4 linked regions of the Cricetulus griseus genome follow. The protein of the gene in region 1 purifies or fractionates together with the protein of each later gene. This does not show direct contact. Links are inferred from orthologs where the notes say so. Each region holds a gene or a part of one and is shown in the gene's direction. Other genes may lie near its edges.

Region 1 (8,441 bases):
TCTTAGGAGGCAGACTCAGAGTGTGCTAGTCCTCTCAGGGTGTTTGCATCAATCCAAAACTGTTCTGCCTCCAGCACAGACAGAGTTAAAGGAGCTCAGAGAGAGAAGAAGGAATGAAACTTAGGAATATTTTTCTCATTTCTAGTAAGAAATTGTTAGTTTGGTATGACTTAAGAGCAGTCTGTACATCACTCTGGGTAAATAAATACTATGTCTCATTTCTGCTTTAATCTGTCTTCCTTTCCCCCACTTTTGGAGTTAGTGTATTCTTGCTTCTCTGCGTCCTGGAGGTGAACCACTGGGGTCCATGTGTGAGGTGTCTGTTGTTTTGGTGTGGCGTTTGTGGTAACTTTCCTGATCTATTACAATCCTCATGTTTGGTGTGTTGTCATCTTCATTTGTTTCAGAAATGTCCATTTCCCTTCCCGCTCATTCAGCATACTCACTGGTTAACATGCTATATACTTTCTTCTTGGTGATTCATAGTTCTGAGCTATTGTAATCTAAGCAGATAATATGATTTCAAGTTTTTGAAGTTTATTATGACTTCATTTCTGGCACAACAGATGATTTGTCCTGGAGGTTTCCAAGTGCTGATGAGAAGAATGTGGATTCTGCCTCAGTAAAATGTTCTGTAAATGTCTGTAAAGTCCATTTACTTTACAATTATGATTGAACTAAGATATTTGCTTGTTGAGGATCTGGAGAGACAGCTCAGTGACTAAGAGTACTTTCTGCTATGCTGAGGACCTGGGGTGAAGTTCTTAACACCCACATAACCATCTGTAACTCCAGTTCCAGGGTTGTGACACCTTCTTCTAGACTCAGAGGACAGAAGGCACATACATACACATAGGCAAAACTTTCATACACATAAAATAACAATGTTTTTAAGATTTTAAAACTCTCGTCATCGCCCATTGACAAAAGTGGAGAGGTGAAGTCCCCAAAAAGTATTGTATTAGAGTCTATCTCTTCCTTTGTGGCTAATATAAAGGAATGCCAGGATGGGTAAATGTAGATATATTGTTCCTTCTGGCTGAATTTATCCTTTCACTAATATATAAGGAGCCTCTTTGACTTTTGGCAGTTTTTTTATTTAAAGTCTGCTTTGTTCTAATGATATAGTGACTCTTGCTAACTTGTTTTGTATTTGTTGTCTATCCTTTTCCAATCCTAAATCTTTACTGGTGAAGTAAATTTCCTGTAAGCAGTGTATAGTTGATTATTGTATTTTTAACCCATTCTGCTATTCCCTGCATTTTTGTTGATGAATTTAACCCATTTATCTTTGTGGCTATTATTGACAGACATGAAATTTTTCCTTTTATTTTATTCAGTTATATTCTGGGTTTGGGGTGGTTTGTTGTAAATTATTCTTTTCTAACCTCCTTCTAGTTGTTTGTATTGTTTGGTGGATCTGTCACACTGAAGTTTGATTTTTCTTCTCTTCTGTGTTCTACTACTGAGTTTTTAATATTTGTGGGTTTTTTAGTTGTTGCTTTTGTTTTAAAGATCTGTTTATTTATTTTATGTTTATGTGTGTGTCTGAGTGTACACACGTGCACCATGAACATGCAATGCCCTCGGAGGCCAGAAGAAGGCATCTGATCCCCTGGAGCTAGAGTTACAGGTGTTTGTGAGCTGCCCCACGTGGGTTCTGGGAACTGAATGCAGATGCTCCAGAAGGGGAAAGTGCTCTTCATCAGTGAGCCGTCTCCCCGGCCTGAGATATTAGTGGTTTCACACTGGTAATTATCACACTTTTGTTTTTCATGAGTGACTTCCCTAAGTGTCTCTTGTAAGGCTGACCTAATGATGGTGATTTCCCTCAGTGCCTGCTTCTCTGAGGAACATTTTGTTTCCTCTTCATTTCTGAGGATTATTTGGTTGGGTATAATATTCTTAGTGGGCAGAGTTTTTATTTTTTCTCTCAATATTTTACATATGCCATCCTACCCTCTTGTGACCTATAACTGATCTGTTGAATGATCTGCTATAAGTGTAATGGGCTTTCCCTTTTCTATGACTTGATGCTTTCCTCCTGCTGAATTTCGGGATTCTCCTGGTCATGTACTTTTAGCATTAGATTACAGGTTTTAATTGAAAATCTATTTTCTTTAAATGCAATCAGGATCCTTTGAGTTTCTTTATATTTGGGTGACCATATCTCTTTGAAGAGTTGGGTCTTCTTCATCTATTATTTGTGATAGGTTTCATGTTTTTTCACTTTGTGAAATTCCCATAGTACAGATACTTGTTTACATAAATGTGCTCTAAGTTTTGTGTGCTTTCTTCATCTGATTTATTTTGTTTTGTTGAGATGAATAAGTCAATTCTAGAGTTCAGAAATTTTCTTTGTTCTGTTTATTCTTTTATGTAACTTCTCTGCTTTATAATTAATTTCATTAATTAAAGTTTTGGCTCCAAACTTTCAGGTAATTCTCCTTTATAATTTCTATGCTTTGGTGAATTTCTCATTAGTATCCTAAGTTATTTTTAAGATTTCTTCATATCATGCATCAGTATTCTCTTTTATCTAGTGAGTTTACTTAGGGTCATTAAATTTGGAATTTTTTTAGGGGCTAGTTGTATTTTCTTTAAATTGGAATCTATTGTGAAGAACAACTATTTCTTGAAGTATCATGCTTCCTATCATGTTATCAGCATTCCTACACTGATGTCTGTGCATCTGGCTTTACATTTGCCTCTAATTTTATGAAGCAATTCTTCTAGGGAGTTTTGAGATTTTGTTTTGTTTTACTTCTCATTTAAATGGGATGTCAGATGCCAGATAGATCAGTGCTATGAGTTTGGTTATAATGGAGCTCCAAACATCTATGTCATTTCTTTGTCTTTGATGCCATCCATAGTCTAAACTATAGCTGCTCATAAAACATTTTATGGATGTAGTTGTAAAACTTAGCAATAAACTTGCTTCCAAAGGTGTGTGTCTTCAGACTTTGCAAAATCAAACACTGCTAATACTAGGACTTGTGGTGGCTGTTGTCATACCTGGGAGGAATCATGGAAGACACAAATGTTTATGGTATCAATATTCAGAGTCTCCAAGTCACAGTATGTGAAGGACTCTCAGGATGAGTGTGGGAGATGTCACAGCTTGTGTCCTCTGAAGCCACAGGAAAGAATTGGACTTTCCCCAGGTCCCACAGGATGACCACAGATGATGCTGGCATTTATGGCACTAGTAACCAGGGGCTCAAGATTGTACAACACAAACAAGACCTACCCTAGGTCCTGCATGTATCTTGGGAATGGGACTAGTAACACTGTTAGACACCTTTACAGAGCCATGGACCATCTCCTGGCCCCAAAGGATGTTCATAACATCATCAGGGTTTTTGTCACCAGCTATGGTCCAAAGGCAGTGGACTGTGGAAGAAATCACCCCAAGGTCTCCCAAGACAGACCTATGCATGTAACATTTGGGCTTATGACAAATGTATCCACACATCTGGAGACATAAGACACGGAGGAGACCTTCACTAGACCCCATGGGCTGAGCACAGTAGTCTGAGATGTGTGGCTCTGGTATCCACCCTACTAGAGCATAAGACGAATAGGCTTGTCCTCAGTTTACAGAGACAAAGCTCAGCTGGGGACAAGGTTTGAAACATTGATAACCACAGCTCTGTATCTGCACGACATGGCTATGACCTGCCCGTGGTAGCCAGGAACAGGCTGCGGGCTGGGAGATCAACCTGCCCGACTTTCATCTGTATATACACAGAGGTGCTAGAGGTTGGGCTGCTAGCTGCTACATTCCTGGAGCTGTGCAATGAGCTAGAACCTTCCTGGATCCCAATGGAGTTTGTAGACAGGCCTGGAGTTTACAACAGTAGCCATAGTCCCAATGCTGTGGGTTAAAAAGACCTTTACAAGGTGCCATGAGGCAAGCAAGCATGGACTCAGACTTATGACTGTCACAGTCTATGGTCCTGAAGCTACAGGACACTGAAAGGACTGTCTTCCACCCAGTAAAAAATACAACAGCCCAGGTCCTCTTATGGTGTCAGGGGATTGGCTCCTGGCCCCTAAGGAACATTGGCATCTAGCCATATGCTTCTGTGGCACTTTGAGTTGGGGAGGGAGGGCGGGTTAGGGAGTTCCGTTTTTGGGGTCAGAGCAGGTCTTGGCGAGGCTGCTATTCCAGGAGTTGCTGCCTCTTCCCACTTCTCTGTTCTCACCCCTGTCCTGGAGGGGTTGAAGGTGCACTTTTACTTTCTTCTTTTCTCTAGCTCCTTGCTGATTTTCAGAGTTTCACTCTCTTCCTGACTCTTAGGTGGCACAGCTAGCTATGCACAAGGATGTCTGTTCTGCCATCTTGGCTGCCTGCCTCTGTGATAACTTCCTACAAGATGACTGCTGATAGTAAAGCTCTTGTGCTGAAAATGCAGGGACTCCAGGCTAGCCCCAGACTTGCTGGCCTCAGAGGGGCAAGAGGCCCTATTATGAGGTTTTTGTCATTTGCCCCTTTTTCTAAAAACACATTATCAAATAATTGAAGGCTTGAATGTGACTTGCCAGTTAAATGATATGTTACATGCCAGTGAGGGGCTCTTGTTCTCTGTCCTTACTCTTAGTTGTGCTCCTCTTCAGCACAAAGTAAGATTCAAGAAGTCATGAGAAGTCATCATTGGCCTGCTCTTCCCATTCCAAAATGCAAACTCCTCAGCAGGAGATAAAAGACAGTGTTACCTTCCTGACCTGGAATACATTATTGCAACCAGTGTCTGGTTTTGAAAGTGACCATTTATCCTACCATGAACATCTGTATGTCTGCCTCCATGTGCATCTACAGATAAGCTGTACTGCCAGTAATGTGCAGTGTGCCTTTAGATCGCCACACTGTGGAGAGGACGAAAGGCCTCCATTGGTGTCCGTTCCCACAGCCTTCCCCTCCAGACTATAAACCAGGCCTGGGAAGACAGTAGTGAGTCAGTAATTTATAGACTATTACAATGCTTAGTTAGAGCTGACTGTGGAGCATGTGGAATAGAGAACACATGTTTCCAAAAGACAAACAGACCCAGCACAGCCCTTCCTTGGCTGAACCAACAGCAATCCATTAACAGGACAAAATGGGATGCCTTATTTTGCATATCACCCACTGCCCCAAAATAGACTCCCTAACCACTTGTTAACCACACTGACTTAATAGACAGAATGGTCGCTAGAGTTGTGCCACCGGAACTATTCATATTAAGCATCCTATTAGCTGGCAGCCAGCAGTCTACAAAACAGGAAGAAAAGCCTCTGCTCCCTCTGCTTGTTGGACTTGATGTGATAATTCATTGCAGATTCCTTTGTCTTTGACAGAGTGCCTACCGAAGGAGTGGGATGGCTTTCCTGGCCTGCTGAGGGGACCATGGCTGTGCCTGCTACAAGAGAGAAAATGGTGCACCGAGGTCATTCTTCCCTGCCCTGGCTGAAAATAAAATATGAGTTTACCTTCTCCTGCCCTAGGGAGTGGCCTGGTTTGTTGACTCTCAACTCTCTGACTCCAGTGCTTCCCCAGCCTCCTTAGCTTTGTTTACTGAATGGGCCATTTGCCTAATTAATGGCAGGATGTTGGGGATGGTGTGTAGGTGGACAAGAATGCACATCACACAATTTTGAATTTTGAATCTGGCACAGATTTGCTGCCCTCGGCTCATAAATCTTAAAAGCAGGGTTGTGCTTTTTTTCCCCTCCAGTGTTTAGTCTGTCTTTTATATGATGTATTTTTGTGATTCAGATTTGGGGCAAAAGAGACAAAATGAGTCAGTCTTCCATTGACCCACCAATTGTACTTTCCAGCATTGTTGATAGTCTTTGTGTGTATTTTAGAGACATAGTCATTTTATAAACATAGACCCATGGAAAATTCACCTGGCAGGACAAGCCACCTGTTCCCCTCTTCTCCCGTCACCCCACTCACTTCACGGAACTTGTTTCATCCATCTTCACTTACCCTCTTTTCCATTGAACTCCCCCAAGCCACCACACACTCACACACACACACACACACACACACACACACACACACACACACACACACACACTCACACTCACACACTCTCTCTCTCTCTCTCTCTCTCTCACACACACACACACACACATACACACACACACACACACACACACAGAGAGAGAGAGAAGAGAGAGAGAGAGAGAGAGAGAAGAGAGAGAGAGAGAGAGAGAGAGAGAGAGCTTCCATGCCCTTTCAGAAGCAAAGTCAAAAGCAAGAGCAAAAGGATTCTTGGATTCACTGAATCCCTTGAGAGCTCTCCCTCTGGTCTGGAACCAGTTGATACACTGCCTGCTGGGAGCTGCTGAGCTGCCCTTCTGGCGTCTGTACTGTCTCTAGTAAATGAGGAAGTGTAACTCTTGGGAACAACCCAAAATGTAGCAGATGCAATGGTATAGTTCCTGATTAAATATGAATTGCAAAGGAAGAAGTTATGTCTTTAATTCTGTAAGAGTTTCGGGTCGAAGAGAGAAATAAGAAGAGCAGACGTTTTCTGTGTGAACAAACCCTTCTGAGTCTCAACATACTGTGTCTGTGTTCACCACTGTCATTTACCTGATGCATACTAATCATTCTTGGGGTAGGGGAAAAGTGTACATGGTAGGTAAAATGCAGATATTTAATATCAAAAATTGCCAAAGGGTTTTTGATGTTCTCCCCATGCCCATTGAAAAGTATGATTAAACTTTTCTTTTTATCATCACTCTTATTTTCCTTGGCATCCCTAATCATGGAAAATTATAACCCTGCAGTAAACATACTTACTTTGGAAATGGCAGCATTTACTGTATTTGGTTTCCATCTGCCAGACTTGTAGAAGATCTGAAATTTTCAGGGGCTAATTTTTCCTATTGAAAACCCATCTCTGCCCCACATTATATATTTGAAAGTAGCACAAGGCAGAAAATGCAAGGCTTTGTTTTCCTCCATCATCTTATTCTACCTAATCTCCTTATAGTCCCAGGGAAGGAAGACTCAATGTACATTTCTCTCAGAAACACGACAGCTCTGTGTTTTTGTTGGTCTGGTGTATGTTTGTCTATCTTGAACCGTCTGACAGGTAATTATTTATAAAATCTGGTTTTGCCCAGCAAGTTCACATAATACCTTTCACTTTTCATCATAAGCCAGAAAGCTGAATTTAGAATAAAACAAGGTTTGTGTCTGTCCTGAGCCAGCCTAGATGTGCTCACAATTGCTCAATATTAACATTTTAATTCTTTTTTTCTTTCCTACACTCGTGTTCTTTCCCTTACCCTTAAAAGAAGACTATATTTGAAGAAAAAAAAAATTTCTGAACAGTTATTTAGATAAAATTCAACAGAAGGAAACTCTCAGAGATGACACTTCAAAAAAGAGCCCCTAAGATTAAAGTGCCACATGTTATCACAGTTAGAGAAGATAACTATGAGGGTTGTTAGGAACTGTCACACACTTGATAGATGAAAAAGAACCTGGCCTAGTTGGGAAGTGACTATCCTGGATCACTAGGTAATAGCGGGAAGAGACCATGCATGATAACCTGCGGCCCCTAATTCTCAGCCCACCCCACACTTCACCCCGTATTTACATTAGAATAGTACAGAGATGCACCATATTTATCCCACACAATAAAGGAAAACATTTCTTAATGATACTATTTGTAGATACACCTACAACATAAATGTGAAGTCATAATAATGAAATCTTAATGGACACTTAAATGACACTTTCTATACTTGGGGCTCAACTCTAAATCATCTATGAATACAGAGCTTCTGTGTGAGTTTTTATTATTGGTGTTAATCCCTTGTATTTTAGAGAGCAAACTTGAAAATAAACCCACAAATAATAAGGAACTTTTCTTCTGGGAAGTTGATGCTGCTCCCTAAGGATAAAGGAAACAAAAATACCCCTCCTCCCACCTAAGTTTAGAAGTGTGACTTTTTGGAACTGCCCTTTAGAGGCCATGTCCTTGACCTTTTCTGCCTTCATACATGATAATAGTTGAGATTCAAAAATAATGTTCCAATTTTAGGGACCAGGGTTTTTAATTTAAAAACCATCAGAAGTGTAAATATTTTCAAACAGTCTATATTGTTCCTGTGTCACTGTCTGTTTTTTGTTTTTAAAAAATAATAACCCACATTAAATGTTATACCACATAGAAGATAAGTAAACATAACGGGTGATCTGTGGTCTGAAAGAAAATAAGTTTATTTGTCTAGAAATTATAAAGTTCAAACTTTGAATTTTTTCGATATAATTCCAAAATTGCTTTCAGGCTTCTATAACCCCTTGTGTGAAAAATCACTAGAGAGTATGTACTCTCATCTGCCCTCCTGGACCTCAGATAACGCCTTCCCAGGTTGCATTTTAAGTTCTCCCATCAGCCATGTATACATCTCATAAAATCTTTTATGGTTTCCTG
Region 2 (7,946 bases), on another chromosome or scaffold:
ATGTGCCTACATGCACTGAATAAGCCAGGTGTGGTTACATGCCTGGAATCCCATCACGTGGGAGGTGAAAACAAATATTCGGTTACTTAGCAAGTTTGAGGATGGGAAGTCAGGTGTGGTGGTATACACCTTTATCCCAGCACTCTGGGATGTAGAGGCAAGTATAATGAGTACCAGGCCAGCCAAGACCACATAGTGAGACTTTGTCTCAAAAAAAAACAAAAAAACAAAAAAAAACCTGAAGATAACAGCATGTGTGAGACTCAGGTTCAGTCTTAAGTGCTACCAAAACAAAAAAGACAATGAATTGCACTTAGGAGTCTGTTTCCTTTTTCATCAAAGGAAGAAAGGAAAGCATGAATAAAGCCCATCCCCCAAGGTTGTGTGTATAATTCAGTGAAGTAAGCCCCCCTCTGTACAATCAGGGCTCTATGAACAGGAACGTTGCCACCATCCGTATCTATAAAGGTATTGAATCCTGGTTTCTTTGTTGGACCTCTCTTCCATGCTACTTTGTCTCCCATCCAATGGCCTTCTCTCTAGTTTTACAGAATCCCATCTCCTGAGCCATGAGTGAACTGAAGGACTGCCCATTGCAATTCCATGATTTCAAGTCTGTGGACCACCTGAAGGTCTGTCCCCGGTACACGGCAGTACTGGCCCGCTCCGAGGATGATGGCATTGGTATTGAGGAGCTGGACACTCTGCAGCTGGAGCTTGAGACCTTGCTGTCCTCTGCAAGCAGGCGGCTGCGTGTACTGGAAGCTGAAACCCAGGTGATTCTCCAACAGAGGGGACATCACTAGAGAAAGATTGTGTCAAGTTATGGGATGGCTCATTAGGTTAATGACCTAACATTGACACTATATGTTGAGGATATGGATGGGAAGAGAGACCCAAATGGGAATTGTGACAGCAGAGTTAGGTCCCAACGCCAGGGATGCCATCCTACTAGACTTCAGAAGATGGATTCTGTCCCCTTGTAGTCCCTGGAATTCCCTGGGAGCTTTCTGAGATATACTGTGACACAGTCAGTTGTTTGTGTAGACAGGGCTCCCAGGAGGGTTGATGATTGAAATGAAGGTTAGCTGGGAGTCTTGTTGGCCATCACCAAAAAACCCACCACCAGCAGCATATTTCCCAGGACTGCTGCTATGCTCTGGGGCATAACCTTTTTAAAATTTGTTTTGTTTTTTTTTGAGACAAGGTTTCTCTGTGTAGCTTTGGAGCCTGTCCTGGAATTTCTCTGTAGACCAGGATGGCCTTGAACTTTGAGAGATCCACCTGTCTCTGCCTTCTGAGTAATGGGATTAAAGGTGTGCACCACCACCACTGCCCAGCTTTATTTATTTATTTATTTATTTTGTTTTGTTTTTCGAGACAGGGTTTCTCTGTGCAGCTTTGGAGCCTATCCTGGCACTCACTCTGGAGACCAGGCTGGCCTCCAACTCACGGAGATCTGCCTGCCTCTGCCTCCCAAGTGCTGGGATTAAAGGCATGTGCCACCAACGCCCGGCCAGCTTTATTTTTTTTTAACCTTTCTACCAAACAGTCTGTGGCTAGCTTGGGTAACAGAGGAGAATGAGATGTAGACCTCTGGTTCGATGCATGTGAGAAAAGTCACAGAGAAAGAACTGGATAAGTGCTTTACTTAATAGCCTCCAATTGGAGATCTCAAGTCATCCAAGTGGGGAAGAGGAGCTTGTCTCTTCTCTCCTTCTCAGTGACTGCCTTTGTGTGTTTCAGATCCTTACTGACTGGCAGGATAAGAAAGGTGACCGACGATTCCTGAAGCTGGGTCGAGACCATGAACTTGGTGCTCCCCCCAAACATGGGAAGCCCAAGAAGCAGAAACTGGAAGGGAAGGCAGGGCATGGACCAGGCCCTGGCCCAGGACGACCCAAATCCAAAAACGTTCAGCCAAAGATCCAGGAATATGAATTCACTGATGACCCAATTGACGTGCCTCGGATCCCCAAGAATGACGCTCCCAACAGGTTTTGAGCCTGAACACATAGAACAGAGCTAGAGGGGGCTTAGGGACTGGTGGTGTGGTCTTAGAAGACCCAGGGCTAAGGCTGAAGGAGCCCAGAGGTGCCCACTCAGGGTCTGCTTCTCCCTGCAGGTTCTGGGCCTCTGTGGAGCCCTACTGTGCGGATATCACCAGTGAGGAGGTACGAACACTAGAGGAGCTCCTGAAACCTCCTGAAGATGAAGCCGAACATTATAAGGTAGAAACCCTGAGCCATAGAACCCTGAGTTATAGAACAGGAGGGCTCAGAGGTGCCTCGGAATCCTAGGCAGCAAAGTCCACATCATCTACTTCCTTCCTTCCCAGCCTCCTGCCTGCTGCATTACCCCTGCAGACACTGAGGTTCAGCTTTCCCTTGCTACCCCCACCTCAGCCAAGTGGTGCGTCTGTCTGTCAGTGAAGTTCATCCTGTCCGCTTGCCTTTATCCTAAGAGCCTCTGAACATGCTCCTTGCTTTTAGACTTCAGCAACCGATTTCTTTCTGTACTTAATATATAAAAGTTAAGTTCCTGTTTCATTTCTAAGACACTAGAACTTGCTATGGTGTCCAGGCTGACCTTAAACCCTTGGACTCACCATCTCCCTCTCAGGTCCCCAGGTGTCTGGGACCACAAACATAACATCACTATACCTGTCTTAAAGGTTTTTGGTTTTTTTGAAACTGGATTTTATATATCCCAGACTAGCCTTGAACTTTGTGTAATGATGACCCTGAACTTCTGATCTTCTTTCCTCTGACTCCCTCATGTTGGGATTACAGGTATGTAATCCCAGTTTTGCAATCCTGAGATAGAGCCCAGGGCTTTGTACATTCCAGCCAAGCTCTCTACCAGCAGAGATACATCCCCAGCAAGATAGTTTTATGTATCATGAAAATAAAACATGTTCCATAAAAGAAAGTGGACCAACCGCGTGAGGAGGAGACTCTACCACATGGCAACTCCCACCTTGGCTGTGCTGCGTCTAGACCTTCTCTAAACCTTTTAGCCACAGGATGGAGGCCAAGTGTCTCAGTGCTTGGTGACACCCCAGTTCCCCTCTCCAGTCTTCCTTGGCCACACCCCTCTTTCCTGCTGCATTCATCAGCTGTACCAGACATGTCTCCCTCCCACTGGTCTCACCAGGGTCTGTGCCCAAGCTCTTCTCAGCTTGACAGACTGCCTCACTCTTCAAGGCCTGAGCTCATGCTACTGCCACCAAAGATGCCTTTCCAGACTCCTCAGCAGAAAGAGAAAGCTGGGCCTAGTGGCTCACACCTATTGCACTTGGGAGGCTGAGGCAGGTTTGAGGCTAGCCTGTGCTTACAAGTGTGAGGCCCTTTCTCCAAGAAGAGTAAAGGAAGTGGTCTCACTTGGTGACCCCATGGTCTCTTGGCTGCTTTTAATGCACTTACCTGAATTTAAAAAACAAACAAACAAACAAAACATTTATCTGAGGCCAGAGATGCAGTTAACAATAGAGGTCAGTGGTAGAGCAAATGTTTAGCATGGACAAGGCCCCAGATTCAGTCATGACCTAGAGAACTACAGCAACCTGTAATCTCACTTCTTGTCTCAAAGAAAGAAAGAAGCAGGGAAAAGGCAATCCATTTCAGCTGTAGTAAGTTTAAGCATTACACACACAAAATAATAATAATAATCCCTTGGACCCTAGTTCTTTTTAGAAGAACTACCTGTGACAAAGAGGATCCATAGACACAGCATTTTATACTTTATATCTTTTTGTTGTTGGTTTTTTTTTGTTTTTTGTTTTGTTTTGTTTTTTCTGTGTAACTGCTCTGGATGTCCTGGAACTCACTCTCTAGACCAAGCTGGTCTTTGGACTCAGATCTGCCTGCCTCTGCCTCCTGAGTGCTGAGATGGAGGGCATGCGCCACCACACTGGGCTTATACTTTATGTCTTCATTATTGCGTATCTGTTTCTAGGTGTATTTTGATTTTTGTTTTGTTTGTTTGAGACAAGATAGGGTCTCAGCCTGGGCTCAGACTCATGACCATCCTACTTCTGCCTCCTGAGTGCTGAGACAACAGGTGTGTGCCACCATGCCTAGCTGCTTTCGTTATTTATATACCTTTTTCTCCTACTAGAGTGTAAGTGCAGAGATTTTATCTTCTTTGCCTTTTGTGGCACCACCCTTGGCCTTGGGCTTGGGGCTTGGGCAACAAATAGGTGAGAAAGAAACAGAATGAATAGAGAGTTTACTACAGTATCCCATACCAGGAGAGTCTCCCACACTCCAGGCAAAGGTGGCCAGGGTTTACCTCTTAGAATTGAATGGCCTCTTTGCTGCAGATTCCCCCACTGGGAAAACACTACTCCCAGCGCTGGGCCCAGGAGGATCTGCTAGAGGAGCAGAAGGATGGGGCTCGGGCAGCAGCTGTGGCTGACAAGAAGAAAGGCCTCATGGGACCGCTGACTGAACTGGACACAAAAGGTGAGTCCCCAGCTCCCTGTCCCCCTCAGGCCGGGATCTGAGTTCCCAGAGCTTCAGGCCCCTGCTGTCTTCTCCCTATCCACTGCAGATGTGGACGCCCTGCTGAAGAAGTCTGAGGCCCAGCACGAGCAGCCAGAAGATGGCTGTCCCTTTGGTGCCCTGACACAGCGCTTGCTGCAGGCCCTGGTGGAGGTGAGCACTCAGTTAGACTGGGAACTACAAGCTAGGTGTGGTGGTGTATGCTTGTGATCCCTGCAACACTTGGGAGACAAAGGCAGGAAGCTCGTGAGTTCAAGTGCCACGTGTATCCATCTCAGAAAACCAACACACACATGCACACACCACACACACACGCACTCACACACCACACACTCACACACACACACACACACACACACACACACACACACACACACACACACACACACACACACACACACACACACACACACGCACACACGCGCATGGTTGTTAGTGTTTTGATGTTTTGCTTTTTGAGATAGAGTCAAACTATGGGCTAGAATGTACAGTCATTTTCCTGCCTCAGCCTCCCAAGTGCTGGGATAACAGATGTAGGCCTTTGTGGAGCATTGGTTAAGGAGGATTTCATGCATCCTTTCACTGAGGTGTGTGCTGTGTTAGCTCCATGTTGCAGGTGAGGAAACTGAGGTTTAGAAAAGGGAACTTTTCTTAAGACTACCAGCTAATAAGTAAAGGTAGGATTTAAGCCCACCCTTGAAGTTTCCCTCTTTATGCCCCTGTCTGGCCTTGGAAATGCCCTTTTATGTCCTTGAGCTTCAGTTTCCTCCTTTGTCTCTAACACAATAGTTTTTCTCTCAGGGAATGGTCTGGGGCATGCATTCCATTACCCAGACTGAGGTAATGGGAAGGGGAAGTCTGGCTTAGTCCAGCAGACTCTAGTTTAGTGTGACTTTTCATCATGACCTTGGTCTTACCGCACCAGGCCCTCAGAAATTGAGTAAGGAGGAGTGTGTGAAGGAAGTGCCCTGGGTGTGACTGGGAGCCTTACCTTTTTAGATCACTTTCCAATGAAGAATTTGTCCCATGAGTCCATCTGACTGCAGTGGAGCCTGGGAAATGTAGTGTAGCTCAGCTGCTGTGGAGGAAAAAACAGTGCTAGGTTATTTCCTTGTCACTGTTTCTCTTGTGTCCCCTTCTTTTGCTGTCCATATTCCCCTCCCCTCAATAAAAGAATTTCTATAATGATCAAAGCTTTGGAGGAAGCTTTTTTTGTTTTTGTTTTTTGAGACAGGAGCCTGTCCTGGAACTTACTCTGTAGACCAGACTGGCTTCGAACTCACAGAGATCTGCCTGCCTCTGCCTCCTCAGTGCTGGAATTGGAGGAAGCTTTTTAACATGAGTGGGATGAAAAGATGGCAGACTATTTCTATCTAGCCTATAAAGACTGTGTATGTCAGAGAGGAGCATTAAAACAGGGATTCTATTGCTTCCTCCTTCTAACCTATCTCTGGTCTTCAGGAAAATATTATTTCCCCTATGGAGGACTCTCCTATTCCTGACATGTCTGGGAAAGAATCAGGGGCTGATGGCGCAAGCACCTCTCCCCGAAATCAGAACAAACCCTTCAGGTGAGTGACATACCATCTGCACTCTGGGCGTGACTGTCAGCTTCTCTCTGTCTTCTTAGGGGGGCATGCTTTGTAAACAGAGGCTGGGGCCATTTGACCATGCACAGACATCTGGCTATACAGATGTTTGCACAGCACATGGAAGTGCTGGCCTCGATTCTGGACAGGCTTAGTACAGACTTGATCATACCTTTGCCTTTCCTGGAGATAACCCAAGTGTCCAGCTGAAGGGAATGGCTAGTTGAGTGCTAAAACTGCATAAGAAATAACTTGTAACTGCTAATCATTACAGAAATATACTTGACATGAAAGAATTAAAACAGAGTACCAAATGGGGGGAAAGGAGTAATCCTATTTGTACTTAAACTATATTTAAGAGTTACATATAGTTTTAAAAAATCTTGGAAATATATATCATAAAAGATTGCAACTCACACATAACAAGGCCTGAAACATATATGTGTGGCTATATGGGTTCACCTTGCCAGACTGGGATCCTCTGAGGGCCCTCCAGCTGGCGCTCAGAGCTCAGGTGCTGGCCTTGCCTACAGTGTGCCCCACACCAAGTCCTTGGAGAGCCGCATCAAGGAGGAGCTGATTGCACAGGGCCTCCTGGAGTCCGAGGACCGGCCTGCTGAGGACTCAGAGGATGAGGTCCTCGCTGAGCTGCGCAAACGGCAGGCTGAGCTGAAGGCACTCAGTGCACACAACCGCACCAAGAAGCATGACCTGCTGAGGTGAGTGAGCACTGTGCCAGGGACTAGCCCTATCCCCCAGTTGGATCTCTGATGGATGCTAAGTCCAGGGACAGGGCTCTAGCACCCACAACTGACATATGGATGGGTCTGTGAATATGAGTGCAGGTGTCTGTGGTGTCAGCTGCCCTGCAGTTGATGAAGTTACTGGTTTTTGCCAGACGCCCAATGTAGGTGCTGGGAACTAAACCCCAGTCCTCTGCAAGAGTAGTACACACTTAACCACTGAGCCATCTCTTCAGCCCTGACTCCATTGATAAGCATAATTTAGTAATATTTACAGTGTTAAGTTGCTTTTGTTTTTTTTTTTTAAATGTGTGTTTTCTTTCTTTTTTTCAAGACAGGGTTTCTCTGTGTAACCTTGGCTGTTCTGGAACTCACCCAGTAGACCAGGCTGGCCTCAAACTCACTGAGATCCACCTGCCTTTGCCGCCCAAGTGCTGGGATGTGCTACCTCCACCACTACCTGGCTGTGTTTTCTTTTTCTTTATGGTATTATTCAATCAAAATACCACAGAGGCACTGGGAAGATCTGCAGTGGGGAAAATGCTTGCCACCAAGCCTGACCTCTTGCGTTCAGTCTACAGCACCCACATGAAAGCTGGCCACAGCAGAACATATCTGTAACCCCAGTGCTTGGGTGGGCAGAGAGGCAAGCCTAGCAGAATAGGCCATTTCTCAGTGGGTAAAGGCACTTACCACCAAGCCTGGCCACTTGATTTCAATCCCTAAAACCTAAAACCCAGATGATAGAGAAAGAAAACCAACTCCTGCAAGTTGTCCTCTAGCCTCCACATGCACACCATGGCATATAACCCTCTAGTGAATACCTAAGCTACAGGAAAAATAAATAAGGCGAAGCATGATAAAGAAAGATCCAGTATCAACCTCTGGCCTCCACATGCATGCACATATACATGTGCAATATGAAGACGTATACATATAACATACATAAAAAACATCATAGAGAAAATAATGAATATCAGTATGCTCAGACATATGAGTTGCTAATGTTCTCTTAGCTGTCTATGGCTTTGATTGGCTGGTCACCCCACACTTACTAGTGTCTTAGAATCAGTCATAGTGTCATTCATTTTATATCAACTCCCATCTGA
Region 3 (7,946 bases), on another chromosome or scaffold:
GGAGTCATGGGCTAGCTTTGAAATGTAGCAGTCTTCCTGAATACTGGGTTGGTAGCATGAGCCATTATGCCCAGTTTTCAGCTCCATCACTTCATATTTCATTGTCTCCCAGTTCATCTCAAAACTGAATATTCCAGTGGCTCAAGCTCCCAAGTGGCCAACTGAGAAAAAAAACTATTTAACTCTGAAATTGCTTGTTTGTAAAATCCATGATTACTGTAGTTTTGTTTTAAGATGGAGTCTCTTGTAACTTCAAACTAATTATGTAGGTGAGGATGACCTAACCCTTTTAGTCCTCAGAGGTGCTGGGATGCCAGGCAGGGCCATCCCAACTGACTCAGGATTAATCTTTATCATGGGGAACACATGCAATGGTTACTTTTATTACAATTAATTTTTGTGAAGTTGGACACAAAACATTGAAAGGATCAGTAAGTGGTTCACACTCAAAACTTACATGGGACCCTGAGAGGGTGACATACTCCTTTTCTGTCCCTTTACTGTGTTTGCTCTTTGGAGGCTTTCGATTCTAGAACAGGAATTAAAAGTAGTATATTTGGTTGTAGGTACTGAGAACACCAGCTCGATGCCAACAGATGGAGAAGTTCAATCTCTTGGATTTGTCAGTTTTGTTAATACAGAGAATAGTTGCTCTCTTTCACTTCTCCTGGAAAGGCAGAAGTGGAGAAAAGAAGGAAAGGGTAAATAGATACATGGCCTACAGATGAAGGACGCTATAGACGATTTCAGTTAGGAAGAATTTCAGTGTCTTGTCTTTTTCAGAGTTGGAGTTTATTGAGAAAAAGGGCTGGCAAGATGACTCAGTGAGCAAAGGTGCTTTCATCCAAGCACGGTGATTTGTGTTCAAGTCCCAGGAGTCATAGTGTAGAAGGCCAGAATTGACTCAAGTTGTCCTCTGACTTCCACATACACACTGTGATTCATGCGTCATTCACATACATGCATGCACACAAATATATATATAAATAGTTTAAAGAAACTTTATTTCTTTGAGATGTGGCTTTATTCTATAGCTGTGTTTGACCTTGAATTCATGGCAGTCCTCTGGTCTCAACCTTCCACACACTGGGATTATAGGTGTAAGTCACCACATTCAGCCAGAGAAAAAGTGTTTCAAATAGATTTAAACATAAGCATCAGGTGGGGGGTGCGGGGGAAGAAGGGGCAGTTGTTCACAGCTGAGTGTAGATTTCTCCAGAGTTCTTGGCGTTGAATTCATCTTTACCTTAGTTCTGGTAAATGGCTCTGTCCCTTCTCTGTCTGTTTGCTCTTTGGAGGCTTTTGATCCTTGGACAAGAATTAAAATTAGTGTATTTGGTTTGTGGACACTGAGCACATGCACCTGACACCTACAGATGAAGAAGAAATGGAAAAAGACAGAAGTAGAGAAAGCTCCCTCCAAGCCCCTGTGCAGCCCATGTGTACTAGAAACATGGGCTGCACAGCTCCTTCAAAGAACAGTTGTCTCTAACCTAATTTATGCAGAGCGGATCCTGACTTTTATAGTGGCCAAGACTGAGAGCTTCATCTACCTCTGGTGGCCTCAATGAGTCTAAACAGGCCTCTGGGTCCCTAGCAAGCAAAAATGAAGGGGAAATGGAGGGTAGAGTGTGGGGATAAGTGCAGAATAATCCAGGCTGCTCAGAATTGAAAGGTGTCTAGCTCTGTTTGGAGGCATGAAGGCAAGTTTGTGGTTTCTTGAAGTTTATGTGTTTCACTTAAAGGTTAGTTCTTATGAGACTATATAGTTGGTGACTTTGCTTAATGGTTAGGTACATGTGAGGTGGGAACTGGAAGGAAAGGAATAGATGTGATGTGGGGTGTATGTGTTTGTGTGTTTCAAGTGCCAGTTAAGTTGGTACAAACCAGTAATCCCATCATTTGGGAAGCTAAGGCTGAGAAAGAAGGGCCATGAGTTTAAGATCAGCCTGGACTACAAAACCAAAACCATAAGCCACATACCCACAAGCATACTATAAAGAGCCTTTCAAACTAAAGTTTGTTTTTAAAATGATTTCTTTGCAGCTCTTGAGAAAGTCTATTTTACAAAGAGGAAAACCTGTGGTTGAAGGCTCACTGGAGAAGAAGCCCCCATTTGAAAAGCCCAGTATTGAACAGGTAAACATTTTTGAGGATCTCTTTTATATGAACTTGAGGCTGAAGGGCCCCTCCCAGTTTTGGGGTGCTGGGGCTCACACCTGGAACCTTGTAAATAGTCAGCGTACACTGTTAAGCTACATTCTAGCTTGAAGAACTTCGAGCTTCCTTTCACATTTCTACATAGGTCTTGCATCCATTCCCAGCCAGCTTCAAGGGTTAACACAAAGACTATAGAATCACTTAGGATATTCTGACTCCCACAATCATGCCCACTTGTATCAATAGTCTGGCTTTTGTCTTAGGAGTGTTGTGCACTTAAACTCCACTCTGTATGTAGGGACAAATGCATAGAACATGTAGTTGGTAAGAATTCATAAAATGTGCCTTTTATTGCTCTTGATGTTTTAAAATTAAGTCTTTGTTTTTTTATTTGGCACTGTCTGAGAAACCTTTTGAGGAGAGGGCATTCATTAATGATATGGAAAACACTGTATGGGGGGGGGTGGTCAGTCAATTCTCATTCCAGCTTTGTTTCTCTTGCTGGGAGAAGATACTTGGTTTTTAAAAAAGCAGTTTCAGAAGAAAAAGGGGTTTTATTAGGCTTACAGTCCAGGTTGTAATCATTCATAGCAGGGAAGTCACATGGCAGGAGCTCCACAAAGTTCATCAGGCCATATTCACAGTCAAGAGAAGAGAGAAACCATGAGGGCTTGCTTGTGTTTAGTTTGGTTTCTCTACTCTTATAAACATCAGTCCCTCAGTCATAGGGAATGGTGCCATCTGTAGTTCATCCCATATCAATAAACTTGATTATGACCACCCCTGAAGACATGTCCAAAGGCCAACCCAATGTAAACAGTCACTCTTTGGGTCTTCTTCCCCAGGTGACACCAGGTTATATCAAGTTGACAGAGCTAACCATCACAAAATGATACCAGAGTCTTTATAAATATTTTTTTTTTTTGGGGGGGTTTCGAGACAGGGTTTCTCTGTGTAGCTTTGGAGCCTATCCTGGCACTTGCTCTGGGGACCATGTTGGCCTCGAACTCACAGAGATCTGCCTGCCTCTGCCTCCCAAGTGCTGGAATTAAAGGTGTGCACCACCAATGCTGGCCATAAATGATTTTTTGTAAGTAAGTTTTCCGAAAGAACAAATTTTTGTTTTGCTTTTCTCTTCCTCTTTTTTTATGTGCTTTTTCTTTTCCTTCCTTCCTTCCTTCCTTCCTTCCTTCCTTCCTTCCTTCCTTCCTTCCTCCTCCTCCTCCACCTCCTCCTCCTCCTCCTCCTCCTCCTCCTTCTTCTTCTTCTTCTCCTGCTCCTCCTCCTCCTCCTTCTTTTTGAGACAGGGTTTCTCTGTGTAGCCCTGTCTATCACGGAACTCACAATGTAGGCCAGGCTGGCCTCAAACTCAGAAACCTGCCTGCCTTTGCCTCCCCAGTGCTGGGATTCAAGGTGTGTGCCACCACCACCCAGCTGAGAATAAGTTTCATCATGTTGAGTCTAAACTAATAAGAGTTATTTTTTTAATGTGATAAATGGGAGTATACTATAGAAAATTTAGATTAATCTACAATTCTCTTGGAAAAGTGCACATTTCTGAATGTTTTTTCTTCCTCTGATAGTCTTGCTAAAACCACAACAGTGTTAATTAAGATGTAAATTTTAGTGTTTAGTTCAATGAAGGATCAGGTAGCAAAGTTTTAAAAATTTCACAGATAGAAACATTTATCCAAGAACCTCATTCTGTATATTTTCTCATTTAAGGGGTTTTGACCCTTCCCATCTGTGTTTTTCCCTCTGATGCTCTAGGATTCAAGTGGTAACAGAATCATAATTCTGTTTTGTCACTTTTTCTATCACTGTGACCAGAGGGGGGATTTCCCCTGGTAGTACTGTTGATTTTGAAGGAAGGGGAAGACATGTTTGTGGACTGAGAATTGTCTGTTCCTTTGCTAATAACTACTGAGATAACTGGGCATGTTCAGTGTTAGTGTGGTCATATAGCTACATGAACATGCTGCCTTCCATTCTTTTCAGGGTGTGAATAACTTTGTACAGTACAAGTTTAGTCACTTGCCATCAAAAGAGAGGCAGACAACAGTTGAGCTGGCCAAGATGTTTCTGAACCGAATCAACTACTGGCACCTGGAAGCTCCGTCTCAGCGGAGACTACGGTCTCCCCATGATGACATCTCTGGATACAAGGAGAACTACACAAGGTAATTGAGCTGAGGTACTGCACTCTGGCTCCAAACATGAAACTACTATTTGCCTCTGCATGGTAGGGCTGTCCACCTACTCAGAGAACATCCCTATGTAGTTTAAAATTCAAGTTCTCAGCTATTTATTTATTTACTTACTTTCTCTCTACCATGCCACTTGTGTGGACATCAGAGAGCAAGTTGTAGGAATTTGTTCTCTCCTTCCACTGTGTGACACAGAGGAATGTAACACAATCCTCAGGTTGGCTGGCATATACACTTACCCATTGAGCCATCTCTCTGGCCCTGATAGTATTTTGGATATATTATACTAAATAAGGTTAATTGAACTTGTACTTTATATTTTTTCAGTGTGGCTACTATCTAATTTATGTGCCGGTGGCATACACCTTTAATCCCAACACTTGATAGGCAGAAGCAGGTAGATCTCTGACCAGACCAGCCTGATCCACTTTAGTGAGTTCCAGTTCAACCAGAGGTATCTAATAAGAACCTGCCTCAAAGGAAGGAAAAATATAAGAACTAATACATACCTTGTATTTTTAAAAATATTTAACCTTTTTGTGTTAGTTTTAATGAGAAGGATATAAAATCACATAACAAACTAGACATGAAGGATACATTAGAAAACAAACCATTTGGCACATTCAGTATTCAATACAAATATAGTGTTATTTTTCTTAATATATATATATGTATATATATATATATATGTATATATATATATATATAGCTTCTACTCTTATTTAAAGTATTTTTTGTATATTGATACAAATTTAAGGTTATTTTGTTATATTGTATATATGCTTCTGTTTATATGTTACTGTATATATGTTATTTAAGGTATTATACCTATGCAGCTCATTTAGAAATGTAATGTAAAGTTCTAGTCCTTGAAAGTTATTATGGATAACTGAAGATGGACGTTTCTCTTTTGCCTGGTCCTGCAGCTGTTTAGTCCCAAATAAATACACAGAGGCTTATATTAATTATAAACTGTTTGGCCAATGGCTTAGGCTTCCTATTGGCTAGTTCTCTCTTAATTATTAGCCTATTCTATTAATCTATGTATTTCCACGAGGTCTTGGCTTACTGGAAAATGTCTAGCATCCTATCTTTCTGGTAGCTTCATGGTGTCTCCCTGGAGGCTTCTCTTTGCGTCCTCTCCCCAGAATTCTCCTTGTCTGATAGCCTGCCTATTCTTCCTGCCTGGCTACTGGCTAGTCAGTGTTTTATTCATCAACCAATAAAGAAACATTTATTAACAACATACAGAAGGACCTCCCCCATCAGATAATAAGAAAGACAGGTTAACAGTTAATCATCTATGACAATCAAACTTGTAGTTTCATGGTTAAACTGAATATTGTAGATAGACAGGTGGTCTCCAAACACTTCAGAGACCTACAGAATATGACATTTAAGATGTTTTAATAACCTAAGGCTTTTTATGACACATCTGTTTCTGGCAGTACCAGTCTGCTTCATAAAAGTATTGAAGAACGTCCATATGGAGTTTACTTTCATTGTGACAAAGCTAGCCATTTATGCAAGAAACTGCCCTTGCTTTGACGGCTGACAGAAAACTGTACAAACTGGACAAGCAGACACAAAGGAATAAGACTGCCGAACTTTGCCAAGACAAGGTGGTACAGTCCTTTAAATTTCCCGCTTCACAGAAATGTCTGTCAGAATTCTAGGCCTGTAGGCTGAAGATGGATGCCGCAACATTGTAGAGGAGCCTTGGGTGATTGTCCAGATAGCCAGTTGTTGCTGTAATTTCTATAGTTTTCAAAGATGCTTGCTTGGCACTTCCTGTTTACTCAAGTAGTATTATATCCTTCTTGGGTCTCTGATGGAGTTGAAGATGAGATAGTTGTTACAGTTTTCTTTGTTACTAAATTCAAAAAAGAATCTCACAGGAGAGGTATAAACTGTACAAGGCCGAGAGACATAAAAGCTTGAATTGTTTAATCTAAGAAAATGTTTTGAGGTTAAAAAAAAATAGTTTGAGGTCTAAAAAATAGACCCAATACAAGTTAGGATAAGAAGTGAATTAAATTCCCAATTAATTTACTTTATGAAGTGTACTGTCAAGCCTGGTTTATGCAGTATTGAGGATTGAATTCTGGGCCCGCATACAAGGCAAGCAATGTGCCAACTGTGTTGTAACTCCGGCCCTGTTTTCTTGTATTTTAATGTCAACTCCAAAACAGTGTCAGGATAATCAGAGTTGCATGGAGTTGGACTTCTGATTACTCAGGTTTGTCACCAGCTAGCTCATGTGTTTACATTTTCATAATTAGTTATTGAGCTGGCTTCCTCTCATTCCCCATTACTCTTTCTGACTTAGTTATGGTTCTATTGCTGTGAAGAGACATTTGACCACCGCAACTCTTTTTTTTTTAAGTAATTAATTTTTATTTTATTTATTTATTTATTTATTTTTGAGACAGGGTTTATCTGTGGCTTTGGAGGCTGTCCTGGAACTAGCTGTTGTAGACCAGGCTGGCTTCGAACTCACAGAGATCCACCTGCCTCTGCCTCCTGAGTGCTGGGATTAAAGGTGTGCACCACCAATGCCCGGCTAATTTTTGTTTTTTAATTTTACATATAAATCCAAGTTCTTCCTCCCTCTCCCCTTGCCTTCCCCTCCCCCCACCCCCATCTGCTCCTCAGAGAGGATATGACCTCCCATGGGGAGTCAGTGAAGTCTGTATCATCACCACGATGAGCCCTATTTCTAGGCTGAGCAAAGTATGTCTGCACAGGAAATTTGCTCCGAAAAGCCAGTTCATATACTAGGGATAGGTCCAGGGCCCTAGTTATGAAGCCAGTGGCCTCATAAACAGTCCACCCACTGTCACCTGCATTCAGGAGTCTATTTTAGTCCTATGCAGATTCCACAGCTGTCAGTACAGAGTCGGTGAGCTCTCACTAGCTTGGGTCAGCTGTTTCTGTGAGTATCCCCAAAATGGTCTTGTCCCCTTTGCTCATACTATTGCTTCTCCCTTTCTTTGACTGAACTCTGGGAGCTCTACCCAGTGCTTTGCTGTGATCTCCATATCTGCCTCCATCAGATGTCATTTTTTTTTTTTTCTGCTGAGTAGTACTCCATTGTGTAAATGTATCACATTTTCTTTATCCATTCTTCAGTTGAGGAGCCTCTATGTTGTTTCCAGGTTCTAGCTATTACAAATAATGCTACTATGAAAATAGTTGAGTAAATGTTCTAGTGGTATGAGTCTGCATCCTTTGGGTTTATGCCCAAGAGTGGAATTGCTGGATCTTGAGATAGACTGATTCCCAATTTTCTGAGAAACCACCATACTGATTTCCAAAGTGGCTGTACAAGTTTGCACTCCCACCAGCAGTGGAGGAGTGTTCCCCTTACTCCATACCCTTTCCCGCATAAGCTGTCATCAGTGTTTTTGATCCTAGCCATTATAACAGGTTTAAGATGGTATCTCAGAGTTGTTTTGAATTGCATTTCCCAGGTGGCTAAGGATGTTGATCAATTCCTTAAATGTCTTTTAGCCATTTGAATTTCTTCTGTTGAGAATTTTCTGTTTAGATATCTACGCCATTTTTAAAATTGGATTA
Region 4 (7,946 bases), on another chromosome or scaffold:
TAAATTAGGATATCAGTTCAGAGAGCTTATTCATATTTCGTCATGAAAGAGGCCCTCCCTGTTCTAGTTCAGATCTCCATTGGTGTCCAGTCTTCTTTGATCTGATCAGTTTTCAATCTCTCTTAGCCATTATAGGTTAGTTATTCTGTAGCATGTCCCTCCCATGGGTGTATTTAGTGCTTCCTGGCTTCTAGATTCCAGTTTGACACTTCAGGCCTTGGTAACACAGAAGTAGCCTTCTATTAGAAGGCCAGATACTATGTGTCATTACTTGATGTGGGATCTCCCAGGTTTCTGTTTTCTGCGTATAATGAGCAAGTGTCTTGTGGGGAGATGCTTTGTGACTGTTTGAATGTCCCATTTCATGTCACCAATTAGTTTGAGTATCACTTTGTTTTGTTTTGTTTTCCTGAAGCGCATGGGGCTGAGTTCTTGGTGATTTTTCCAGCTGAGTTCTTGATGGTTTTTGTTGTTGCTGTTTCTTTTGATGTCATGTAAACTGCAACTTTGAATGTAGGACATAAAACTACGTCCTCTAAATAGGCCCAACAGCAATATCAGCCTTTCCACACTATCTTTGGCCTCCTGACTGTCATTCCTTGTCTGCTTTCTGGGTGCCTCACTGTCTTGAGTCTTAGCACTCCCTTGCTAAGGGTTTGCTGTGGAAACAGAATAAAATGACCCACAGTGGCACTGTTCCTGCTGATTAAGGTTGAAGCTTTTCTGGGAGACTTGCAGAACCTGTGTAGTGATATCCACTGCTGGCCTGCCTGCCAGCCTGAAACCCCTCTGTAAATTTGACTTTTGGAGGTTCTGGCTGCAGGACTTCACAGGACTGGGGAAGTCTTACAGGGGATACTCTGAGCTTGCCTGGTCTCTCTAGGCCCCTGGGGTTCTGCTTCTCCCTTTGCTACCTGTAACAGCCCCGGAGCTTCCCTGTTATTTACTTCTTACTGTAGTAAAAACTCCCAGAGGAAAGCAGCTTAAGGGAAGAGCGGTTTATTTTGGCTCCATGCTTTGAGAAGGTTGTCTGTTATGAAAGGGAAGGCATAGCAGCAGCAGCAGCAGCAGCAGCAGCACAAGGCTGCTGTTTACATTGCATTGTACTGAGGAAGTGGAGAGCTCAGGTCAGAACACATAAGACCTGCCTCTCACCAGCCCTTCCTTTAGCAAGGCCCCACCTCCTAAAAGATCCACAACTCTGCAAAAAGCTCCACCAACTAAGGACCACCTGCTCAAGCACATGAATCTATTAGAGACGTGCCAGGCATACTCAGATCTGAACTTCCATTCCTGTCATCTCAGGATGGGGTCAGAGCTTTGGCAGGGTTTCTACAGGACAGGGCAAAGCAGTACCAGTGACCTCTCAGTGCACCTACTTTCTCAAGGGGTTGTCCTGCCACTTGCTACCATATTGCCATTTATGCTTTTACAGCTGAAAAACCGGGCTGAGGATGTCACTTAGAGCAGTTGCCTAGCTTTCAGGTGACCCTTGGTTCCATCCTGAGCACTGAAAAATCATTGGTTAGTTAATATTCTGAGATCTGTCATCAATGAATCCCACTATGAATGTCATAGCAATGACACAAACTTAGATGCATTGACACTCACTGTAGCCTCTTAAACAATAAAAACACTCCTTGAACATGAAATTCATAATGTAGCTACAATGTATTTTGTCAAAAGTATAATTTAGTAAGTTTTGTGGGGTTTTTGGCTTGTTTTTTTTTTGGGGGGGGGGTGTTTCAAGACAGGGTTTCTCTATGGCTTTGAAGGCTATCCTGGAACTAGCTCTTATAAACCAGGCTGGTCTCCAACTCACAGAGATCCGCCTGCCTCTGCCTCCCGAGTGCTGGGACTAAAGGTGTGTGACACCACTGCCCAGCTTGTTGTTTTGGTTTTTTTGTTGTTGTTGTTTTGTTTTGAGACAGAGTTTCTCTGTGTAGACTTGACTGTCCTGGAACTTGCTCTGTAAACCAATCTGGCCTCAAACTCAGAGATAAACCTGCCTCTGCCCTCCAAGTGCTGTTATTGAAGGCATGCACCACCACTACCCAGCTAAATTTTATTAATTAATTTATTTATGTATTTATGCATTTTATGTATATGTGTGCTCTATCTGTTTATATGCCTGCATGCCAGGAGAGGGCATCAGATCCCATTCTAGGTGGTTGTAAGCCACCATGTGGGTGCTGGGAACTGAACTCAGGACCCTAAGAAGAGTAGCCAGTTCTCTTAACTGCTGAGCCATCTGTCCAGCCTTAGTAAACTTCTAAATCAGTGGCATGGTCATTACTATAATCAAGTGTGATTGAGTGTATATGATTGTATATGCCCTGCATATATGTGACTGTCAGTGCAGAGAATATGATATGTTTCACTGTGACATTAAGCTGGCAGTGGTGCCATGAGGCAGTAAAATCCTGTGGGGCCACTGTCATAGGATTGTGGCATAGAAAGACCTGTTAACTGAGATATCAGGGGTAGTGCCTATTTCTATTTAGGGGCTATAGTTTCATTTATTTTTTTCATTGTTTTTATTACTATCTTGTGTATACATGTGGTATATATATGTTTATGAAGTATGTACCTATATTTGTGTAGGTCCTCAGGCATGTGAGTGTGCATGCCCATGGGTGAGAATGCATGTATAAGGCAGTGGTTGATACTGGATGTCTTCCTTGATTATTGTCCACCTTAGTTTTTGAGACGGAGTTTCTCACTGAACCTGGAACTGATTGATTTGGCTAGGCTGTTTGGCCAGTGAACTCCAAAGACCCAGCTGTCTCCACAGTAATGCAGTGCTGGGATTGCAGGCACACACCACCATGTCTGGCTCTCAGATGGGTTTTGGGAATCTAACTCAGATGCTCAGGCTTGCACAACAGGCACTTAATTCACTGGGCCATCTCTATAGCCTCTCCTTCTTTGTTTGAAGCAAGGTCTCACTCTAGCCCAGGCAAACCCGGAGCTCTTTGTGTAGCTAAGATGGCATCAAACTCACTCCAGGACTACTACAGCCTCCTACACGGTAGGATGACAGGTGTCAGCCACCACACGCAACAGGATCTGTAGTTTTCAGCATAGACTTGGTCTGGGGAGTCCAGATCGCCAAGAAGCATACGCTGAGTGCCTCACCCAGCACTCTTTTCTCCCTTCTTTGCCTAGCATCCTCCGAAAAGCATTGGATAAGATAGCTGAGATCAAGTCTCTGCTGGAAGAGAGGCGGATAGGTGAGTGGGAGAAAATGCAGGGTATTTCTTGACCAGGCCAGGTGGGGGCTGGGGGGAAGCAGTCATAGCCTTGGCAGGGGAATATGGGACATAGGTTGGTGGGGTCACCCAACAGAGCTGTCTGAAACAGACTCAGAGGCAGAGAGTTTGCTTAGTTCTTGCCTAGACCCAGGAAATTTTGTCCCACCACTCACACTGCCCTGCTCACTCTAGCCAGGGCTGGTCATCTCTCTCCTTCCTACCGCTGCTCCCTCTGTGGCATGCTTTGGTGGCCACATGTAAGCTGGCTTAGCCCCCTACCTTGTAGGTTCCTCAGGTGCCATTGCCTTGGCTTCCTGACTTCTGTCTTGTCCCAGATGCAACTCTTTACCCCATATCACCATCATGGTACCATTTTTGTTTTTAGTTGAAGAGTGTGATGAGCCATGGCTGATGAGACCAAGGATCCACACTAGATAATTTGTGCAACTTTTGTTGAAATTACATACACTAGTAGAAAGAAGATACATTCCAGGAATTTTCATTGACCCAGCACATTTATATATCCAGCATCCTGGTCAGGAGACATAATATAACCTATATCCTGGAAACCCTCCTTTTTAGTTCCACTCCACGATGGTGGCCACTGTCCTGACATCTCACCCACTTGAGTTAGGCTGTCAGTTCCTGACCTTAAGAAGGGGTGTGGATGGTTTTGGGATCCTGGTATAAAGTGCTCCAACTCAGAGCAGTTGCTGGGGTGTGACTGGGTCAGACACCATCCACTTGGCCTCAGGGGTTCACTTGCTTCCCACAGCGGCCAAGATCGCAGGTCTCTACAATGACTCGGAGCCCCCACGGAAGACCATGCGCAGAGGCGTGCTGATGACACTGCTGCAGCAGTCAGCCATGACCCTGCCCCTCTGGATCGGGAAGCCTGGTGACAAGTGAGGGCAGGAACTAGCCAGAGAGGGCTGGTGACAGGGAGCCAGACTAACGGGCTTTCTCTCACAGGCCCCCACCCCTCTGTGGAGCCATTCCAGCCTCAGGGGACTATGTGGCCAAACCTGGAGACAAGGTGGCTGCTAGAGTGAAGGCTGTGGATGGGGATGAGCAGTGGATCCTAGCTGAAGTAGTCAGTTACAGCCATGCTACCAACAAGTGAGTGTGTGCCTGACCTTGCATTCTCACCACTCCAGCTTCTGCAGCATGGGAGGAAAACTCCCCCCAAAGGGTGCTGGGTGGTGCTCTCTCGAGCTTCTCCATCCCCTTTTCACCCTCTCTCAGCCTTACTCTTGGATGCAAACCGCTCTTTGTCCCAGAACTGTTTCCCTTTTGTTTGCCCACAGGTATGAGGTAGATGACATTGATGAAGAAGGCAAAGAGTGAGTGTCCCGGTGGGGAGCAGTGGAGAGTCACCAAGCTTCTGGGAGAAGCCTCCTGGTCACGGCCTGTATTGTTCCCCCAGGAGACACACCCTGAGTCGGCGGCGCATCATCCCACTGCCCCAGTGGAAAGCTAACCCTGAGACAGACCCTGAGGCCTTGTTTCAGAAGGAGCAGCTGGTGCTGGCCCTATATCCCCAGACCACCTGCTTCTACCGTGCCCTGATCCACACACCCCCACAGCGGGTAAGGAGCCACATGAAAGGCCTTTGATGACACCAGAACCTTAAGGGTTGGTCCCCATCATTCTTCAGCTTGCCTGCTTGCTGCCTTCTTGTTGTCCTTCATCTCCTAAACATAGGCTTTCCCAGTAGCACCAGACCCCTTGACTTGAGAGCAGAGAAGAAAGTAGGAGAGGCAGGCAGGGAGATGCATCTGGGGCTCTGGGCAAGGAGGGGCTGCCCTGGCCTAGAAGCATCTTGACCAGCCCTTCCTGTGTGTGCTCTACAGCCTCAGGATGACTACTCAGTCCTGTTTGAAGACACTTCCTATGCAGACGGCTACTCCCCTCCTCTCAATGTGGCCCAGAGGTACGTGGTGGCTTGTAAGGAGCCCAAGAAAAAGTGAAGCTGGCTGGCTGGCTTGAGTCTGCCACTGCCGACCTCATGGGAGAAGGCAACAAACGAGTTCCTGTAATAAAATAAATACTCTTCCCTCTCACCATGTCTCCTGGGCCTCACTACTTCAGACCTCCCTGCCCTCCTCCATCAGGCACATGGGATTGGTGGCCGCAGGAGGGAGAAGGCCCAGTCAGCTCCCAGTGACATTTATTCTTTCAGGTAAAATACAGTTTATGTCTTCTGTTGTTGCATGCTTGGGTTCCTTTTCAGTGCACGGATCAATTGCTTTCCTGACACGTGTTGGTAAAACCCTCTTCATTCAGATACTACCCAAGTCCTGTTCATTCTCTGAGCTCAGATTTCCTGTAGGCATACAATATGGGTGCATCATATTCTATTCTTGAGGTCATACAACTGGATACATCATATTTTATTCTTGAGGTCATAATGGGTTATGTCAGCTTACCTTCATTCCCAATATAGCCATATCCACTTACAGATTGCAACGGAACTTGAGGTTGCAGCCTGCCATCATTTTGGTGTAGTGGGCATCAAATTGCTCATTCTGAGCTACAGTGAAGGTGTTTTTCCAGTCCCCAGTGATACCTGAAGAGGGAGAGAGACTGTGTAGAGTCCCAGCTACAGGACCCATGTGACTTCAGGTTTTGTTGGTTGCATCCAACCTCCCTTCCCCAAATCCTCCAAATACCCATCCAAGCTACTACCTACCTTTCCTCATGAAGGGAGAAATATCATGGTCCATGACTGTAGTGGGGATGGTTGTGTAGTTAGCCATGGGGTTCTCCTTCATCTTCTTGAAGGATGTATGCTCAACAATGATATCCACAGTCTCCTCAGGCAGAGAGCGTCCCAAAAACTCTAGGACCTTCTTGATCTCCCTTTTGGGATTCTGGAGCATAGAGATAATTTTGGTACTCCTTGGGATAAGGTTGGGGGATCACCCACAGGGAGCGGGCCACTTCTACCAAGAAATTTTCAGACCTGATGCCCTGACTCTTGAGTCTCTTACCCTGATGCAAAATAGGTAGTTTCCTACCCTGCCATCTTGGCATGATCCCAGTGGGTTCATTTTGGCAGAGGACAGGGACAGACTTTGATCTCTGGTACCCATACTTGGTACCTCTGGAGCAGGGAGAAGCAAGAGCAGCAAGCCACCAGATCAATAATGGCACATGACTGACACTGCACCAAGATAAGAGCTGTGCAATGTCCTCTGCTGAGGTCCTGAGCCAGGAGGTAATGGGAGGTACTGGTCTGGGGTGGGGCTGGGATAGGGATGGGGCTCGGCCAGGTGAGTGAGGTTCCTGCCTGTGAGACACAGAAGGAAGTGGTAGCAGGCAGTCTCACCTCCTTCATGTCTTCATAGAAGAGATAGAGAACAGGGTGAGTTTGTGTCAGTTCCCACCACTCCTTCACGTGCTGGTACCACGACCCATAGGACACTGGGGAAGAGGGCAGGGTACAGACACAGTCCTTGTTAGCACCAGCTTGTGCCCCTCAGCTCCAGCCCCCTCCTTGGTACAGACTCAGATTCACCTTTCCCAGCCATGAAGTTCTCCAGGAAGATATCCCAGGTATTTGGATCAGGGTGCACCTTGGCCATGTTGTAGAAGTTATAATAGGAGACAGCCACATCCTTTGGATTTCGGGCAACGTAGATCACCTGCAGGGGCAAACAATCCCTAGTTCTGGTTCCTCCTGTTTTCCTGTCACCACAGGACCCAGTGAGGTGTCATACCTTCTAGCACTTGAGAACTCTCAGCACTTCTTTTAGGGATGGCAGAAGAGAAAACAGGACTAGAAGTTGACTTGTTGAGATTTCGTGGTAGGGTACCACTGACCTGAGATTACACCTTTGATGCCCAAGTCCTGGCTATTCCATAATCTATATTTTATCAGACTCCTTTATTGTCAACACATCCACATGGTAGGTCAGAGTTCCACCATCCCCTTCATCCATGTCCTGTGAGCACCTGGACTCTGCATCTCTAGTTTACACTGAAGAATTCCGTTTTCCTTGTTATCTGAGTCCTTCCAGAGTGACAGCCAGAGATCCTCCATACAAGATGAAACAGGGCTTGAGTAGCCCCATAATTCCCAGCAGAATAAATCAAAGCTATGGTGACCCCAGGGACCCTTGCACCCTCTCACTTTACCCACCTCCCTGTTTCCCTTTCTTTTTTTTTTTTTTTCCTGCGATTTTTAAACAGGGTCAGATGCAGCTCAGACTACTAGTCTTTAACTTGCAGTGTAGCAAAGGCTATCCCTAAACTCCTGATCCTTCGGCCTCTACTTCCCGAATGCTGGAAGGTACCACGATAACTGTGGTTTTTGTTTTTGTTTATTTTTACCTTGATCTTCTGATCCAGCAGACTCTGAGGGAGCAAGGACAGAGGCAGATGTGTCTTAATTAGCCGTGGGTCTGGTGTCTCTTCCAAAGATTCAAGACCTACAGTTGAGCAGAGAACTTAGTTAAGCTGGGGCCTAGTCCTACCTCTCTCCACTTGTGTCTAACATCCTGGTGCTCATACCCGAGGGAACTCCTGGGCATCGAAACTCAAGGAAGGGCACCCGGGCATAGATGGGGGCCCGGCGACAATTTTCTGGCTTGCCACCCTGGTAGATCATGTCCAGGATCTCACTAATCCAGGTAGTACCTGAAAAGCAGGGAACAAGAAGTAAGCATGACCCAGAGTCTGGACCTGCTT

What was found. Proteins that work in one complex are often made in the same cells at the same time.
Region 2: the proteins of Supt3h (region 1) and Tada3 purify together in Homo sapiens (affinity purification with mass spectrometry; 6 studies listed by BioGRID and IntAct, counting the BioPlex papers as one, with this or other methods). This does not show direct contact. The link is inferred for Cricetulus griseus from reciprocal best matches to the Homo sapiens genes SUPT3H and TADA3.
Region 3: the proteins of Supt3h (region 1) and Kat2b purify together in Homo sapiens (affinity purification with mass spectrometry; 7 studies listed by BioGRID and IntAct, with this or other methods). This does not show direct contact. The link is inferred for Cricetulus griseus from reciprocal best matches to the Homo sapiens genes SUPT3H and KAT2B.
Region 4: the proteins of Supt3h (region 1) and Sgf29 purify together in Homo sapiens (affinity purification with mass spectrometry; 6 studies listed by BioGRID and IntAct, counting the BioPlex papers as one, with this or other methods). This does not show direct contact. The link is inferred for Cricetulus griseus from reciprocal best matches to the Homo sapiens genes SUPT3H and SGF29.

Annotation. Positions count from the first base shown.
Region 1 is NW_023276807.1:31,439,196-31,447,636, forward strand, and holds the end of Supt3h (transcription initiation protein SPT3 homolog), read left to right. Parts: intron 1-5,321; coding exon 5,322-5,453; 3' UTR 5,454-5,483; downstream 5,484-8,441.
Region 2 is NC_048601.1:31,424,079-31,432,024, forward strand, and holds part of Tada3 (transcriptional adapter 3), read left to right. Parts: exon of another isoform or gene 1-543; 5' UTR 544-569; coding exon 570-776; exon of another isoform or gene 777-802; intron 803-1,746; coding exon 1,747-1,997; intron 1,998-2,125; coding exon 2,126-2,231; intron 2,232-4,324; coding exon 4,325-4,466; intron 4,467-4,554; coding exon 4,555-4,658; intron 4,659-5,496; exon of another isoform or gene 5,497-5,583; intron 5,584-5,966; coding exon 5,967-6,076; intron 6,077-6,627; coding exon 6,628-6,813; intron 6,814-7,946. UniProt on the Homo sapiens protein: Functions as a component of the PCAF complex. The PCAF complex is capable of efficiently acetylating histones in a nucleosomal context. The PCAF complex could be considered as the human version of the yeast SAGA complex.
Region 3 is NW_023276806.1:249,657,424-249,665,369, reverse strand, and holds part of Kat2b (histone acetyltransferase KAT2B), read left to right. Parts: intron 1-2,046; coding exon 2,047-2,139; intron 2,140-4,158; coding exon 4,159-4,340; intron 4,341-7,946. UniProt on the Homo sapiens protein: Functions as a histone acetyltransferase (HAT) to promote transcriptional activation. Has significant histone acetyltransferase activity with core histones (H3 and H4), and also with nucleosome core particles.
Region 4 is NC_048596.1:74,074,719-74,082,664, reverse strand, and holds the end of Sgf29 (SAGA-associated factor 29), read left to right. Parts: intron 1-3,168; coding exon 3,169-3,233; intron 3,234-4,029; coding exon 4,030-4,159; intron 4,160-4,226; coding exon 4,227-4,373; intron 4,374-4,561; coding exon 4,562-4,597; intron 4,598-4,680; coding exon 4,681-4,843; intron 4,844-5,107; coding exon 5,108-5,224; 3' UTR 5,225-5,317; downstream 5,318-7,946. Other genes in the region: sulfotransferase 1A1, read right to left, coding at 5,711-5,823, 5,947-6,127, 6,586-6,680, 6,775-6,901, 7,590-7,687, 7,770-7,895. UniProt on the Homo sapiens protein: Chromatin reader component of some histone acetyltransferase (HAT) SAGA-type complexes like the TFTC-HAT, ATAC or STAGA complexes.